Linked DNA regions of Daphnia pulex. The protein of the gene in region 1 purifies or fractionates together with the protein of each later gene. This does not show direct contact. Links are inferred from orthologs where the notes say so. Each region holds a gene or a part of one and is shown in the gene's direction. Other genes may lie near its edges.

What was found.
Region 2: the proteins of pescadillo homolog (region 1) and ribosome biogenesis protein WDR12 homolog purify together in Homo sapiens (co-immunoprecipitation; 7 studies listed by BioGRID and IntAct, counting the BioPlex papers as one, with this or other methods). This does not show direct contact. The link is inferred for Daphnia pulex from reciprocal best matches to the Homo sapiens genes PES1 and WDR12.
Region 3: the proteins of pescadillo homolog (region 1) and nucleolar complex protein 3 homolog purify together in Homo sapiens (affinity purification with mass spectrometry; 3 studies listed by BioGRID and IntAct, counting the BioPlex papers as one, with this or other methods). This does not show direct contact. The link is inferred for Daphnia pulex from reciprocal best matches to the Homo sapiens genes PES1 and NOC3L.
Region 4: the proteins of pescadillo homolog (region 1) and probable ATP-dependent RNA helicase DDX27 purify together in Homo sapiens (affinity purification with mass spectrometry; 4 studies listed by BioGRID and IntAct, counting the BioPlex papers as one, with this or other methods). This does not show direct contact. The link is inferred for Daphnia pulex from reciprocal best matches to the Homo sapiens genes PES1 and DDX27.

What each region holds. Positions count from the first base shown.
Region 1 is NC_060028.1:9,972,423-9,976,753, forward strand, and holds pescadillo homolog, read left to right. Parts: upstream 1-1,506; 5' UTR 1,507-1,650; coding exon 1,651-1,674; intron 1,675-1,818; coding exon 1,819-2,162; intron 2,163-2,222; coding exon 2,223-2,484; intron 2,485-2,541; coding exon 2,542-2,680; intron 2,681-2,736; coding exon 2,737-2,864; intron 2,865-2,930; coding exon 2,931-3,190; intron 3,191-3,254; coding exon 3,255-3,442; intron 3,443-3,506; coding exon 3,507-3,622; intron 3,623-3,698; coding exon 3,699-4,025; 3' UTR 4,026-4,079; downstream 4,080-4,331. Other genes in the region: uncharacterized protein LOC124208492, read right to left, coding at 18-260, 340-397, 471-664, 839-916, 1,028-1,029. UniProt on the Homo sapiens protein: Component of the PeBoW complex, which is required for maturation of 28S and 5.8S ribosomal RNAs and formation of the 60S ribosome.
Region 2 is NC_060024.1:1,155,475-1,159,572, reverse strand, and holds ribosome biogenesis protein WDR12 homolog, read left to right. Parts: upstream 1-1,284; 5' UTR 1,285-1,566; intron 1,567-1,640; 5' UTR 1,641-1,773; coding exon 1,774-1,847; intron 1,848-1,908; coding exon 1,909-1,994; intron 1,995-2,047; coding exon 2,048-2,261; intron 2,262-2,321; coding exon 2,322-2,462; intron 2,463-2,531; coding exon 2,532-2,707; intron 2,708-2,778; coding exon 2,779-2,864; intron 2,865-2,948; coding exon 2,949-3,195; intron 3,196-3,263; coding exon 3,264-3,396; intron 3,397-3,454; coding exon 3,455-3,584; 3' UTR 3,585-3,632; downstream 3,633-4,098.
Region 3 is NC_060017.1:6,524,056-6,528,312, reverse strand, and holds the start of nucleolar complex protein 3 homolog, read left to right. Parts: upstream 1-1,411; 5' UTR 1,412-1,543; coding exon 1,544-3,105; intron 3,106-3,173; coding exon 3,174-3,382; intron 3,383-3,444; coding exon 3,445-3,626; intron 3,627-3,688; coding exon 3,689-3,918; intron 3,919-3,988; coding exon 3,989-4,223; 3' UTR 4,224-4,257. Other genes in the region: glutamic acid-rich protein-like, read left to right, coding at 729-1,193. UniProt on the Homo sapiens protein: May be required for adipogenesis.
Region 4 is NC_060018.1:13,199,178-13,203,298, forward strand, and holds the start of probable ATP-dependent RNA helicase DDX27, read left to right. Parts: upstream 1-1,308; 5' UTR 1,309-1,365; coding exon 1,366-1,657; intron 1,658-1,714; coding exon 1,715-2,184; intron 2,185-2,242; coding exon 2,243-2,299; intron 2,300-2,362; coding exon 2,363-2,475; intron 2,476-2,551; coding exon 2,552-2,811; intron 2,812-2,888; coding exon 2,889-3,005; intron 3,006-3,069; coding exon 3,070-3,140; intron 3,141-3,218; coding exon 3,219-3,533; intron 3,534-3,598; coding exon 3,599-4,121. Other genes in the region: enoyl-CoA delta isomerase 2-like, read right to left, coding at 1-132, 209-240. UniProt on the Homo sapiens protein: Probable ATP-dependent RNA helicase. Component of the nucleolar ribosomal RNA (rRNA) processing machinery that regulates 3' end formation of ribosomal 47S rRNA.

The sequences.
Region 1 (4,331 bases):
TATGAAGTAGTACTTACTCGTCTAGTTCAGCAGTAGCAATGTTTTCAACAGGATAAAGTGCGTTTACGACACGCTTATCTCTTGAACCATGATATGAAAAGACGTTCAATTTGGAAGCGTTCACAGGCAGGTAGGTTAAAGGAATAATGGCAGTTCCGTTCCATCGTTTGCCACTCCTGTATGCCTTGTAATTTATCAACATTCCGAAACGAATCGTGTGTCGATACCCATTCAAGAGTAATACAAAGTGATGGCCCCACCTGATTAAAAATTTGAACTTCCATTAATCTAGTAGCAAACTAAACTAGCCATTGCTCAACCGTGTAAAAATGTACTTACGCTCCCAGCTGAATTTCAATATACTGGTGTAGATCGTTCAAGAAGAAAATTTTTACCACTAGATCAATTAAATGAAAATAATACTTTACACTTTCAGAAAATTAATAGACAAAAGTTAGTAGAGTACATACATTCATAATCCCAAAGCCCCCATTTTGGTTCACCTACATCACCAGGTGTGTTTGGAGGAGGGTCATCGTAGAAAGGAGCTTGAACAACAATTTTGAATGACTTAGAATCATGTTTCTCCAAATTTATTATGACTTGATCAGAAGAATCAATTGTCATGTTATTCCATGATGTTTTTATAACATACTCTGCAGCACTGTAAGTAAATAAAGCAATATAATTATGAATGATTGCCATGTTTAATATAATTTTGGTCAAGTTAATACTGCATGACACAAGACACATCTGGACCAAGTCGATATTCAATATTCATTATGCCCATGTCCTAGAATAAACAATTCAATTGCAAACCAATCAATTGTTTACTTACTTTGTGTTTGGTAAATGAACTGAGATCATAAAAAGTAGCCACAGAAAAATGAATGATTGATTCACATTATGCAATCCCCTATATTAATCAAAACAAACATTTGGTTAATACAACATAGGGCAAATAGATTGTTATGTAGTATTTGAAAACTACAGTATACAATAATGTATCATTACATATAATACCTACATGTCCAGTAATTAGTATATGCCTTTAGCTTTCAAGCAGTTTCAAGTTTCAACAGCCTCTGCCTAAGAAACGATTTTCTTTGAATAGACAATGTTCTAGGCTTGGCAATCTGTTTTATTTGGCTAACAAACCTTGCGTCACTGATAAGTGATAAATACGAAATACGAAATTACGAATGTTGATAACTTTTTCTTTTCATCTTTTTCAAAGCAAATATCAATATTAGAGGCCAAGTCGCCCAAGATATTTCACAGTTTCACTATCTGTCAAATCCATACTGCCATGAGTGCCATCTATTGAATAATTAATATAACTTGCTTTTCAATTAAAATCTTATAAGATTTTATTTTATAATGACCACATTTAGTAAATTTATGTCGAAAATAATTTTATAGAATGATAAATTTATAAAATCCCAATTTTATTGATGTTTTATCGGAAACGTTGAAATGTTTTCTCGGCCTTTTTGAACTAGAATTGTCAACTACCGATAGTCCGATACCGTCGTCTGCTTGTCATAAAGTTTGGCTTTTCGGTGCACGTGGTCGCTTAAATACGCAATACGATCGAGCGTATGTTCTTTTGATCCGTTTAATTGAAATAGCATATAACAAGCATAAAAAATGGGAGCCCGTATGAAGAAAAAGGTTTGTTGCCAAAAGAGTTCATATTATAGATGTAGTGTTGTATCTTTCATGTTGTCTGCCACTGTCTAAAATATGCACATGTGACGTGTCATGCCTTAGCAAAGAGAAATAGAACGTGATGAAAACTAATTATCCTTTAATTAGTACGAAGCAGGTGAAGCTACCAAATATATAACAAGAGCTCAAGCCTTGAAAAAGCTGCAACTAAACTTGAAAGACTTTCGGCGCCTTTGCATCTTGAAGGGTGTATACCCACGTGAACCCAACAACAGAAAGAAAGCCCAGAAGGGAAAGCTTGACAAGAAGACCCTGTATTATGTGAAAGATATCAGATTTTTGAGCCACGAACCTCTGATATGGAAGTTCAGGGACTTCAAAATCTTCATGAGGAAGATGAAGACTGCGATGGAGAAAGGTGATAAAGAAACTGTAGCAAGGCTGAAAGATAACAAGCCTAGCATGAAGTTAGACCATTTGGTAAAAGAAAGGTAAGAAATGGTAATAGATAATAAAATGTTCACTGTCTATTGATTAATTTATCTTCTTAGATACCCTTCATTTCTTGATGCACTCAATGATCTGGATGATTGTTTGACCCTCTGTTTTTTCTATTCGACTCTACCGCGAGACACCAAAGTTCCGGCGAATCTGATTTCACTTTGTCGCAGGCTCACCGTTGAGTTTTTACATTATGTTATTGCTGCCAAAGCTTTGCGCAAAGTCTTTATTTCAGTTAAAGGCATTTACTACCAAGTAGAAATTAAAGGACAGCCTGTGACAATTCTTATTAACCATCTAAGAGGGTTCAAGGTAATGTCTATCTACCAAATAATTTGAGTGTCATTCTAATCTCTTCAATTTCTTTAGCCCACAACAGCATCGGATGTTGATTATAGGATCATGACAAATTTCGTCGATTTTTATACTTCAATGCTTGGATTCATAAACTTCCGACTCTACCACTCCATTAATCTTCAGTATCCGCCGAAACTTCCGGGAATTAATAGTAATATTGTTTATATTTCTTCATTAATTAAATAAACTTACAAAAATAATTTGTAGTTAACGAAAATGCCGCGGATGAAGATGCTACTGAAGAGTACAACGAACTGGTAGCAGCTTTGAATACGAGTCTTGTTGCAAACGTACCCGAAGCAGAGGAAGAACTTCAAATAGACGAATTTCCATCGGTAAAAAAAATAATAATCTTTTTAATAATTATTGTTTTTGTTCTAAAACTAGCATTTATTCAATAGGCTGATGGACAGGATAAACTTGATGAAGCAAAGCGTGAGGCGGAAGCAATTGAGCGAATGAAGTATCTTTTCAAAGGTTTAAAGTTTTTCATTAGTCGCGAAGTTCCACGTGAATCGGTTGTTTTCGTGATCCGAGCGTGCGATGGTGAAGCTTCGTGGGATTCCTCCATATTTGCGGGCGCCACATATGATGAGACAGATGAAAGCATTACACATCAAATTATCGACAGACCTTCCGTCGAAAAACAATATCTTTCTCGGTAATTATTGCTTGGTTTTTATTTGTGTCAGTACTGCGCATCTAACCGCTTTTCTTCACGACAGTTATTACATCCAACCCCAATGGTTGTTTGACTGCATCAACTTCCGTCGATTACTTCCGGTGGAAGACTATTTCATTGGTGCTAATCTGCCACCGCATATCTCGCCCTTTGTTACTGAGCGTCTTGGTGACTACATTCCTCCTGAGCGACAGGTACTCCTGGCTCTAGAGCGCGGCGAAACCCTTCCAGGTATGCTTTTACTTGTCCTTTCGTACTGATTAAGCTTGCTAAATTAATGCCTTGTGATTACTAGCTGAAGAGGAAGAGGAAGAAGAAGAGGAGGAGGAGAGTGAGGATGATAGCAGTGAAGAAGAAGAAGATAGCAAACCGAAAAAGAATGAAACCACAAAGTCTCAAGTCGTTAAGGAGGTAATGACGAGTTTGTTTTTTAACGATGTTTCTGAAAAAGCAATTAAATGTATTTTTACAACGATGTTTCTCGCAGAAAAAAGGCATGAAGGTAATGAGAGGTCGCGTTGAAATGCCTGACATCAAGGGTATGGACGAAGAGGAAAAAGAACACTACAAATTCCGTGAACTTATGATTCGCAACAAAGACAAACGATTGTATCGCTCCATGATGAAGAATCGTAAGAGCCGTGAACGCGAAGCTAAGCGTTTGGAAAACAAACGCAAGTTCCACGAAAAGGAAGAAAAAGCATTGAAGAAAAGTACGTCTACTGGGAAAGAACTGACCGCGAAATGGTCCATTCAACCCCTATCGTCCACGACCTCAGACACGCAAATCAAGAAAATAAAGAAGGATGCGTAAGTTGTCGTATTCTTCTCCCTTTTTTTGTCTTAATACACGCTATTGTGGAAACAATCTCTGAAAGGCGTTTAGTATGAATACGGCAATTATGGAGTTAATTGCGGGCCTAGCAACACCTTTGTTGTCTTGTTTTTAACGCGTTATGACTACGACCAATTTATAAATGCATGCATGCGTACTTCCATGAAGCTTCCTTTTGGGGGGAGGGTTATCGAACATTTGCCTTTGCTGCTGGCAGTGCTGGCCTCCTTAACTGGGCCACCGGGATGCCTTCTGGCGATGACCGCAATTGGTGTTCCCTTTTTT
Region 2 (4,098 bases), on another chromosome or scaffold:
CTCATTTTTTGTAATGCTTGAAATATTTCGTTGAATCTTTCCGTAACTTGCAATTTTATGAAAAGTACCTTATTTGCATTGCGTTGCCTTTGTTGCCCATGGGAAATCCCCCCGAAAATAATGAAATTTAAAGTTGGCAAACGGAATGAAAACTGAAATTTTAAAAAGTGAGCTTTGATTATACAAACGACGATAACTGTCTAGGGTTGTGGAAAGTGAATTTGCCCATGTAAATCGGCAAGAAAAATAAAGAAATGTTTAACGATAGTATTGCATGCCCTCGTTATTTATTTTCATGACGGGGAGAGACTCTTAAATCAACTCCGATTTGGGAGTTGACTACCGGTCTATACCGCTATGGGGGTAATTCTTTTAGTTTACACCCCTCAGGAAAACTATGCTTACAGGAAACGCTTTTTCAATGACAGCTAACAAAAGTAGGCATGATTTTATGTATAATAGTCACCTTTTCCACCCGACCCCCTTCAACTTATCTGGTATCTACCTGTCACCCTCCGCTAGTGGTCGGTAGAGGCGCTGCTTTTCAACGGAAACCGCCGTTGCCGACAATTTTGCGGGCAGCGGTCGACAGAGGCGCTACCTAGTCGCGTCTATTGGAATCAAACGACAATCAAGATTTCGAGTGAGGGATGAGAGTCCAGCTCTCATTATTACAACCTGTTACAAACCGTTAGCTCTAAAGCCTAGCGATAAATGATTTAATAATCAAAATTTCAAAAAGGCATTAAATCTCTTGCATGACATATGGCGGAACTTCCCGTCGATTAATACATTAAAATAATAAGACAACTTCAACTTTACCCAATGAATGGGTGGAATTTTTTTATTCGTTTAACAACTGGCCATTACTTGATCGAGAATTTTTTTAGTGTTCAATTCCTTGACGCCTATTGAAATTAAACTAAAACAGTAAAACTTTACACTGGTTCGTCTACTGAAATTAGACTAAGCGTCAAAATTAAGTTTGGTGCTGACTGACAAGGAAGTTAATGAACGAAGGTATTGAACAGGTTGCCGCCCAACTATAAGTGCAGTTCGCGCAAATCGTTCCATGAGTTTGGCACATAGTGTAACATTTTTTTCTCTCTGTACAGAAAATTTAAATTAAAAACAAAAACAAAAAAAAAAAAAAAAAAAATCTTCTATAAAAATTTTGATAGAGGAAATGATCGATGTAATTCAATTCTGGAATTGGGCCAGTCAGTTGAAGATATGGTGCCACGTCTCATTGGCATTGCGTCGCAAACCACCAAAAGACGCTTTGGAGCCTGGCTTATTATAGTCTTTAGACTTCAGAGGCCTAGACCGTAGACTCCTGGTAGACTCGCGTAGACTCACTAAGACGGGAACAATTTTTAGATTTTTTGCGTGTCTTTGTGTCGCTGCATGATTTAGCTTTAAAATATTGATAGAATACGAGTTATTTTATTTCTAGCCCCCTTCACAGTTCACACGTCATTTGAGTCAGATGTCGGATAAATGCAACAATTGCATGTTTATTATTCAAAAACTAGATGGCAGTCAAAAGCTTTACTTGGAGGAAGGGTAGGCGAAAAGGCTTCACTTTTTAAATTCCTATCGTTTCGGCTTTGTAAAAATATAGCAGGCTTTGATTACAGACGACTGAAAGTGCAAGAACACGTGGAGTCGCGGACCGAACATCAAAAGTGGTCTCATCCAAACCACACAATTATCGAGTGTTAAACTGTTAACAAACCTTTATTAAAAAGTAAACGTCATAAATTTCTTGCAATGGCGGCTTTAAAAAGAAGCTTGTTAAATGACGAAGGCCAGATTCAAGTGAGATTTGTAACGAAACAGGAGAAGTAAGTCTTTCTACCGAGTCCATTTGTTGCTCAAAATATTCATTCTTTTTTCTGATGACAGATATGCTCTCCCAGAAGCTCCATTTTCAATCCCTTCTGGAATAAAAGCAGACTCACTAAGTGTTTTAGTCAACAATTTGCTAAGAGGTAAATGATTTAAAATTTTCAAAATCATTAATACTAATAATTTTGTTTTTTAGAAACACACGAATCAGGATGGGATGAGGTAGATTTTGATTTTCTAGTATGCGGAGAATTTGTAAGGCTTCCACTTATTGAACATCTAAAACTGAAAGACATTAATACTGAAGTCACAGTTGAAGTAGAATACCTTGAAAGATTCCCTGCTCCAGAACCTGAAGATAGTTTGAATCATGATGACTGGGTATCTGCTTCCCACTGTTTTAAAGACTGGTATTACACTCATATCTTTAGTTGTCTTAAAATGTGTATGTACAATGCTAGTTATTTCAGGATCCTGACAGGGTGTTATGATAATACCTTGCATATATGGAAGACTGATGGTACTCATAAGTCAACTATTCCAGGGCACTGTGGCCCCATCAAAGGAGTACGATGGATTGAAGTGACTGGCTCAACTGCTACTTTTGCAAGGTATTTTTAGTTTCTTTGAATTAGTGATAATCAGCTTTAAAAAAAAAAAATTATTGTTTTTTTTTTTAGTGTTTCTCATGATCAGACAGTTATGCTGTGGAAAATGAACCTTGAAACTTATGCAATTGAATGTGTGCATATTGGAAGAGGACATGAGCGCTCCATTGAATGTGTAGATGTTGATAAGAATTCATCCTTCCTTGCTACTGGTGGTTGGGATAATATGCTTAAAATTTGGTCTGCCAGTAAGTGTAACATATTCTAATTAATGTATTCAGGTGTCTGTTTAAATTTAATGAATTCTTCTTTTTTTAAGCATCTGATTCAAATTCAACAAACGAAATTGATGATGGTGAAAAGGAAAAAGGATGCTCTACTGGTTCTGGAAAATCACTCAGACGTGTAAGTGTTTTGTATGAAGTGTCGCAACATTTTATACCTTCAGTCAAGCTAGAACAGACTAATTTCAATCATTATTTAATACAGACACCATTGATGACTTTGCCTGGCCACAAGGAAGCTATATCTTCTGTTGTTTGGACTGAAAACAATGAAATCTTTAGTTCTTCCTGGGATCACACCATCAAATTGTGGGATGCTGAATTAGGAGGATTAAAATCCGAAATTGTTGGGAACAAATCCTTCTTCTGCATTTCTCGTTCTCCATTAAACCAAACTCTTATCACTGCTTCAGCTGATCGTCATATACGTTTGTATGATGCCCGATCTCAAGGTACATCTGTTGCGCTTTATACCATTTTAATAGGCTCATTAATGATTTCCAATTTTTTTTTTTGACAGAGGGGTCAATTGTGAAAGCCACATTCACTTCACACGTTGGATGGGTATCAACGGTTTGTTGGTCTACGACACATGAAAGATTATTCGTATCCGGTGGCCATGATAACATTTTAAAGTTGTGGGATAGTAGGAGGCAAGTATTTGATAATTAATTGCGTGTTAATTCAATGAGAAATAATTTTTCTTTTCAGTCCCAAGGCTCCGTTATACGACATGACGGGACATGAAGGCAAGATCCTGTGCGCTGACTGGTCAAATCCTTCGATAATAATAAGTGGTGCAACGGATAATACGTTAAAGATCTTTAAATCTGAAGTATAAATTAAAATTGCCACCAAGTTGAGATAAACAAATTTTTGGAAACTGGAATGAATTAGTCTATTTTGGCCGTTAGTTAACTTTAAAACGAAGTATAGACATGGTGTATAGAGTAGTCAGTAGTCCAGTGACGCGTACCGCCGACAAGGCAACGTCGTACTAGCTATAATATAGCCTCGAGTAATATTTTTTTCTTCTGTATTTTTCGAATGGACTAAGTCTAGTTTTAATCCTATACATTTTTTCCTACCCATTTTTTTAAGTGATACAAAATTAATTGGATTGCATATTAACCAGTCACAGCGCTTGATACATTCTGCTTCAGCTGGATAGGTGTGCACTTCCAAGTTTCAACGACGCAATCTACTAGCTGCAAGGGGGCAAGCTTAACAACGCGGTCTGGAGAATTGTGTAGTCATAGTTTTAGGTATTAGTTTTACCAGCAGAATTCGTATTCTCAGAGTCATGAGTCGTATGTTCGAGATTTCCAGCAAAAGGTATCAGCTAACCAAGTATT
Region 3 (4,257 bases), on another chromosome or scaffold:
TGTGGCGGTTCCGATTTCTTTGTAAATTCCTCGGACGGAAAAGATTTTGTGGAGTAGCATTTCTCTCTCTGCTCAACATCAAAGGCCGTCGCAACGAAATAAAATTAAAAACCACCATGCGGCGCAGTAGGAAACGATACCCACACACACTCACGTTCTCTAGCGGAAAGTGTCATCAGCCTGTTTTCTCGTTGAAAATATATACAAGTTCCATCAGTCTAAACGACAAACACATTTCCCTTTTTTTGTGTTGATTTTATGCGCTGATGGCTAGGCGCCAGATGGTTCAGTCATCGTCGCTGTTAATGTCGTCCTTAATTAGTTTTTTTGTTTCTTTCCTTTGGCCAAACTTATTGTTAGGGGATGGCTAGCGCTCGTTAGCGCTTGCGTTCATTAAATCTTGTCAAGGCCATCTAGCGGCGAAAAGTAGACGTACAATTTTCTGAAGCGGAATTTTCAATTTGACAATGCGGGATGGAATTCTAATTAATAAACCATAAATGTGTAGGCCTCTATGAATCCCTAGTAGCTCTGTTGACTAGGACTTCTTATTATTCGTGAATTAAATTAAAAATAATTTTGTATAGAACGTCGCCAAGTCGTAAGTTTTAAGATTTTTTCAGTTCGTTGCTACGACGAATCGCAGTAGTTGGTCTTGTTGATACCCTATTAGTGTCGTTATTCGTATAGTTTGCGCGATCGAATTACTTTTGTGAATTATTTACACCATGGAAAGAAAGGAGATCACAACTAAAATTTGTTGCGAAACTGCCAAAGAAAAGAAAGGAATCGATGCAAATCCCAAAAAGAAACAAGTGACCTTAACAGTTCAAAGCACTGAATCACCGATGGCTTTGAAAACGACCACTATTGCTGCATCAAGAGTTATCAAGGCTAATAATGAGGAACCGGATTTATCCATGACTTTACAAGGACGGAAGAAAGAAGATCGTGAGTTTAAAGACGAAGAAGGAGGTTATGAAGATGACCAAGAAGATAATGCTGTTGAAGATGTGGAGGAGGACGAAAACGTTTTCAAACATCGTGAAGAAGAGCGTGAGTTTGTGGAAGAACAAGGAGGCTACGAAGATGATCAGGAGGATAATATTGAAGATGCGGAAGATGAAAATGGGTTTACTGAAATGGATGAAGAAGGCGGATACAAAGACGAAGACGTGGGTGAAGAATGTTGAGAGGTTTCTATTGATTGGATTTGTCATGCTTCATTATTCAAAGTGATCATAATGTGTTGTCAACGCATAGTTATAGTAGACAGTTTTATTCCTTAATAAAAATACAAAGCGAAGCATTTTTTTATAAGGATTCACTTTTGTTTCGTTATTCATTTTTATCATTTCCCACCAAAACATCAGCGAACTCTAGCGATAGATCGGTAAACTAAGATCAAAACTTCACGTGGTAGTTTTCCAAAAGACGTCTGTCTACCAGTTGACTGAACAGTGAACACAATTTATTGAATTTAATTTGTGTTTGAATAAAAGTTTATAGTTTATCCAAGTTTGTCATCATCCGGTAACTGAAAATGGCAAAAAAGGGTGCCAAGAAAACAATGGTGGTGAGCAAAACGAAAAGAGCCAGCCACATGAAACACAAAAAAACTTACAAGGCAGGTGCCAGAGTTCGCCAACCATTCGTTAAACCGAAAACTCAACTGGGAGATAAAACCCAACCGAACAACAGCCGGCCAAATCAACAGGCAAATAAGAAAAATCCCGTAGCTTCTATTCCAGGGTCAAATAAGAAAAAGAAATTCAACAATGAGAAACCTATTCCAAAAACTGAAGAAATTGTTCAAGATGATTTTGATGCAGATGAAATGATGGACATGATGGACGAAGAAGAAGTCAGTTTCTTTAAAACAAAGGCTTCCAATATCCAACAAAAGAATGCCAATGCAGGAAAGAAACGAAAAATTGAAGAACACAATGGTGAGACAGTTGAAGAGGAGTACAATGAGGACCTCTATAACAGCGAGTTGACGAAGAAGAAAACAAGACACCTCCTTCCAATCAAGACCAAGCAGGGCATTGTTGAACAGACGATTGAAGTTGACTACCAATCTTCTGACGAGGAAGAAAAAGACGATGAAGATGCTGAAGAAGAAGAGGAAGCCCCTAAAAGCATGGCAGAAATGTATGCAAGGCGAAAACAGAAAATTGAAGACTTGAAGGCCCTGATTGGTTCCTCATCAAGCAACATTTTGGAAAATCCTGATGAGCGAATGGAGCATATCAGTGCTGTATTGAAACTATATGCCACTCTAACTCCAGATATTTTCATTACCGGCTTCAAACTAATTTCTGCTAGTCTTGTGGAACTCTTCAAGGATTTGGCACCTGGATTTGAAATTAAAATGACTTCTAAGCCTGGAGAAAGACTGAAGAAAGCCACCAGAGAAATTTACGGGAACGAAGCTCGTCTGCTTAAATATTACCAGATGTTCCTCAAGAAGCTAGAAGAAACTCTTTCTCCATTGAAGGAGATGAAAAAGAAAAAAGCCATTGATGAGTCCACTAGGAGAGTGGCAGTTTTTGCATTGAAATGCATGAGCGACTTGCTGGTGTCTATGCCACACTTTAATTTTGCCAAAAACATTGTTCACGCTTTAATTCCGTTTACTGCTCACAAAGTGGACGATGTACGCTTTTTGATTTGTTCAGCATTCAAGAAACTCTTCAAAGACGACAAGAAAGGCGAGATTTCTCTACACGCAGTTCGACAAATCAATCACCTTATCAAAAACAAGCGACACCACCAGATTCCACCCGATTGCCTCGACATCCTAATTGCGTTACGTATCAAGGACGTTAATTTAGATCGGGAAAGGGAGGAAGAAATTAGTAGGTACAAAACCTTGACTCGCAAAGAAAAAATCCTCATAATGTCGAAGAATGAGCGACGTCGAAGAAAGAAGATTGAGCGGCTGGAGAAAGAAGTCGTCATTGCCAGAGCAGAGCATAGTAAAGGCAGTAAAACTAAATATCAGACAGAAACGGTCAAGTTGGTTTTCACCATCTATTTCCGCATCCTTAAAATGGCACCGAAATCCGGTTTGATGGGTGTCGTGCTTCAAGGATTGGCAAAGTATGTTTATATTTTTTTAAATTTTATTTTGACAAAGGTAATTTCTGATTATTTCTCTTTTTACGTAGGTTCGCGCATACGATCAACGTGGACTTTTTCACCGACTTGGTTGAAGTTTTCAATAACCTCATTGCAAATGACCAGCTTGATTACCGTCAGTGTCTGTACGCCATCCAAGTAGTGCTCATTATGCTCTCGGGTCAAGGAGAAGCCCTTAACATCGATCCCATTCATTTCTATTCTCACTTGTACAAAGTTATCTTTAGTCTTACTGCTGGTACGTAGCATTTATTTCATTTATACCGATTAGTTTGTCATTAACTTTGCGCTTGAATGTAGGCCCGTCGAATTCTAACGTTCCGATCGCAATTGACTGTCTGGAAAACATGCTCATAAAACGAAGGAAGAAGGTTTCAATCCACCGAGTTTTGGCCTTCACAAAACGAGTATCGACTCTAGCTCTTCAAGTCCAGCATAACAGCAGTATAAGCCTGCTTAGTTTGGTCCGCGTTCTTATGAGTGTAAGCATTTCCCTTTCTTTACTCACAACAAGATTCAGAATAACTTTTTTATTGTTATGCAGACTCATAAACAAACAGACATGCTGCTGGATCTAGATACTTCTTCCGGCAGCGGAACTTTTTTGGCAGAATTGGAGGAGCCCGAACATTGCAACGCAGGCAGTACTGCTCTATGGGAACTCCATTCACTCGTGAGGCACTATCACCCAGTTGTGGGAAAATTCGCTAGACACATCCTGCTCAAAAGCCCGACTACTGGAAATGGGGCGTTATCGATGGAATTGACTCGCAAGTAAGTCGTACTTTCATGATGATTTCTGTCGCTCTTTAATAGGCTAACATTCTAAACTTTATTTTATTAGGACACCATTGGAATTACACACGCAATATGATCCGTCGCTACTTGCTTTTCTGCCTGCCGTGCCGGGTCCAGCATCAACCCCTATCAACTTGAAAAAACTGAGCGCAGAGGAATTTCACAGTTCAGAACTTGAGGCATTCGTTTCAAAAGTATTGAATACTGATCACATGAAACAGTGGGAGGACGATAACACTGCACAGCAATTGGCTTCAGCTACAAATGGTGTACATAGTTGATTATACCCAATTGTTCATTTCACATGATTATGAT
Region 4 (4,121 bases), on another chromosome or scaffold:
AGTCTTTTTTGAGCTTCATCAAACTGCTGATTGATGCTTGTAGAAAAACGATGAGTCCCAATGACAGAAACTAATCTTGGTGTACCTATGCATGCCATTGGTTTCATTAGTGAAAAAGATAAGCATCGATTTCTGTATTAAGTGATACAAAAAACGGTACTAAGAATAAAAGAAGTACATTTTAATAAATATTGAATAAAAACAATACCTTAAGCAATGGGCAATGCTTGGGACAATCATTTTTATAAAGAAACTAATTTTACAATTCCAAATTTAATGATATTTCAAACTGTGATTCGGACTGATTTTGACTCGTCAAGTCGTCTGCTCTCTGTTGATTGAGTTTTGCATTGCTACGTTGTCATTTTTATTTACGGAATGCTGCGGAAAAAGCGAAGCGCGAACTTACAAAAAAGCGGTAGTAAAGTAACTTTAAGCGAACTTAAAGTAAAATCAATTAAGCTCTCGTTGTAAAATCTGCACGTTTCATTTTCCTTGATAAGAGAGTAGTTTTATTTATTCAAATTTGACGTGGGTCGATATTAATACATTTTAAGGCCTGGGAATAGAGCGAAAAGATTACCTTTCCAACTCAATTCGTTGTTGGGGGTCTTGGCCTAATGGTTATGACGTTCCGGATCTATCTTGGGGGACTTCGCTTGTGATGAGCGAGGAAGGGTTTGTGACACGAACTTGCAGCATTCTGGGGAACAGTTAGTTCATGTTCAGACACGATATGAAAATCGAAAAAAAAAAAAAAAACGTCGGCACATCTGCCCTGAATAGATCTTTTTGTTTTAATTTAATTTTTATTAAATAATCTGAATGCGGGACCCTAATCGAGGGACTTGAACGAGTTGACCCCACGGTTATGCCTATTGGTTCAAGACCTTGCACAAGCGGCAACCTTTTTAAATTTGTATTTTGCTTTTATACGCTTTATTTTTTGTTTTGGAGACTTTTACTGTTAGAATAAATACAGACATGTTAATTTTTTTCATGATTGGTATTCCATTAAACAACGTGAAGAAAGTTGATTTTGGCTATTTCGTCATTTCTGATGTCGGAAGACAGCTGTAAATAAAAATATTTCCGTTAAAGTTAATTTGAAAAAATTCTTCATTCGATTAAAGTAACGATGAATATTTTAAAAAAAGTGGTTTTGACTAGTGATGCTTCTCATTACAAAGAACAAAGTTCATTTAATATAATGTATTTTATTGCGATTTAAATTAGGATTCTAAATTAACTTGACTCCGCTATCTGCGAAATTTACCTTTGGTAAAACAAGTAGAAAGAAGACAAGCTGCAAACTGGCATCCTGTCATTGCAGACGACACATTACTTTTAGTCGACTTTTAAAACATGGAGGCTACTGGCTGCACGTGGGATCTGGTGAAAACCATTGAATCCGATGACGAAAACATTCCCTTTTACGATTCATCATCTGAAAGTGAAGAAGAATTTCAACCAAAACAATTAAAACGCGATGAAATCAAGACTAAAAAAAGTAAGGAGTTCAGCCAAGAGTTTGAGTTTATTGGAAATGTCGGCGACTACAACGCCGACCCTTGGAAAGACGATGTTCAAAAATACATTAAACGGAAAGCGAAAAGCAAGACGGACGACAAAATTGCCCAAGTGCTTAAAGATAAAGGTTGTATATTATTTTCAAGTTCTTAAAAAACGTCAGCTTACTTTCTTTTGTTGACAGGTGGGGATGAAGATGGAAGTGAACAAGAAATAGAAGATGAAGTTGAAGAAAATTTGCTGTCTGAAGATGAATTGACAAAGGACAATGTACGAGATAAAGAGCGTGACAAGAAGAGGAAACTAAGGAAGAAAAAGTCAAATGAGGAAGTTGATCCAAATTTGGGGATGGGAGAGGATTTTTTTGACGAGTCGTTGCTCTATGAGCCAGCAGAGAGTTTTCATGAAATGAATTTGTCTCGTCCTCTCATGAAAGCCATTGCCTCTATGAATTTTGTTCATCCAACCCCTATTCAGTCAGCTACAATCCCTGTTGCATTACTGGGCAGAGATGTATGTGGTTGTGCTGCTACAGGAACTGGTAAAACAGCAGCTTTCATGTTGCCAGTTCTAGAGAGGTTGATGTATCGTCCCAAGGTATCAGCAACAACACGTGTCCTTGTTCTTGTTCCAACTCGAGAATTGGGAGTTCAGGTAAGATCTTACAATTGAATTTTATTACTTTACACATTTTCATACCTATTTGTATTAGGTCTATCAAGTTTCCAAGCAACTTTCACAGTTCACCAATATTCAAATAGGACTTTCAGTAAGTTTTTGCTACATTAACAATGAATCTTTTACAAAAGTCTTAGAAATTTCATTTCTTTAGATTGGTGGTCTTGATTTAAAAGTCCAAGAAAAAGTTCTTCGCGGTAATCCTGACGTTGTTATCGCAACACCTGGCCGTTTAATTGACCACTTGCGCAATACTCCATCCTTCAGGTTTTCATAACTTTTTTTTTTTAATATGTTATCAAGAATTTTGTGAAAAACAAAATTTGTCGTTCGAAATTTGCAGTCTTGAAGCCATTGACGTTTTGATTCTGGACGAAGCCGATCGAATGTTGGATGAATTTTTTATTGAACAAGTCAAAGAAATTATTATGCAATGCGGCCGTAAACGCCAAACCATGCTTTTTTCTGCCACGATGAGTAACGAAGTTCGAGATTTGGCCGCTGTATCTTTAAACAAACCCATCAAGGTTTTCGTAAATAATAACCGCGATGTAGCATTCAATTTGAGGCAGGAGTTTGTTCGCATCAGGCCAAATCATGAAGGTACTTTCTCCTATATTGAATATCCCAAGTTATTCTTTTTATTAATTTATTTTCTGATATTATTTAACATGCAACAGGTGACAGAGAAGCAATCTTGTGTGCTCTTGTGTGTCGAACTTTCCGAAACCATTGCATGGTATTCGTTCAAACTAAAATGCTTTGTCACAGGCTTCACGTTCAACTTGGATTGTTAGGTATCTATCATATTTGGCTTAATTTCAATTGTTGGGGTTTTTTAAAATAAGTTTACTATTGCAGGCATCAGAGTAGGCGAACTCCACGGAAATCTCTCACAACCGCAGCGACTGGAAGCTCTTAGAAAATTCAAGGTATGTCTTAAAATTCAAGAGTAATATTTGATTGCTAGTTCGTTCAATAATCTCGTCTCTTTGTATTATCTCTTAAAGGAGGAAGACATCGATATTTTGGTTTCCACGGACGTTGCAGCTCGTGGTTTAGATATCCCAGGAGTGCAAACAGTTATAAATTATACTATGCCACCAACTATCGAACGTTATATTCATCGAGTTGGACGTACGGCTCGTGCTGGACGAAGCGGTGTCTCCGTATCACTCGCTGGAGAAGGAGAAAGAAAAGTGGTCAAAGAAATCGTTAAAAGGGCCAACAATCCTGTTAAATCACGATTGATTCCAAACGAGATTCTTGAAAAATATAAAAAGAAATTGGCCCTCATTGATCCGGATGTGGAAAGCATTATTACGGTATGAGCACATTTCACATGAATATTTTAAAACTTGGATTAAATATCTTGTTTTTACCCCTATAGGAAGAGAAATCTGAAAGCCAACTTTCAGCAATGGAAAACCAAATCAATCGAGCTGAAAAAATGGTTAAAGTTAAAGGTGAACCTGCTGCTCCGAAGCGACAGTGGTTCCAGACACACCAGGAGCGTTTAGACGAAAAAGATCGATTTAAATTGGCCAACGAAGGAGGTGCCACAGAAGAAAGACCGAAACCTGAGAAGAAGTTGGGAGAGAATCAGAAAATCAAACGAAATGAACGAAAGAAGGAACAGAAAAAGACCAAGAAGAAGGGTGAAATGACATCTGAAGAGCGGACGCAACTGGAATTGAAAAAAGTCATGCTTATGCAAGCAAGAGCTGCCAAGAAAATGAGTAAACCGAAGAGCATGCGATTAAATAACGATGTCAGCGACGTCAAATCTACAAAAGCACCAGTCGCGAAAAAATCAGGATCGGCGTTTGCTGCAGATTTGACCGATACAAGTCAGAGATCGGTAAAAAGACTGCGTTACCAAGGAAATGTTCAAAATCGACAGCTGAAATCGA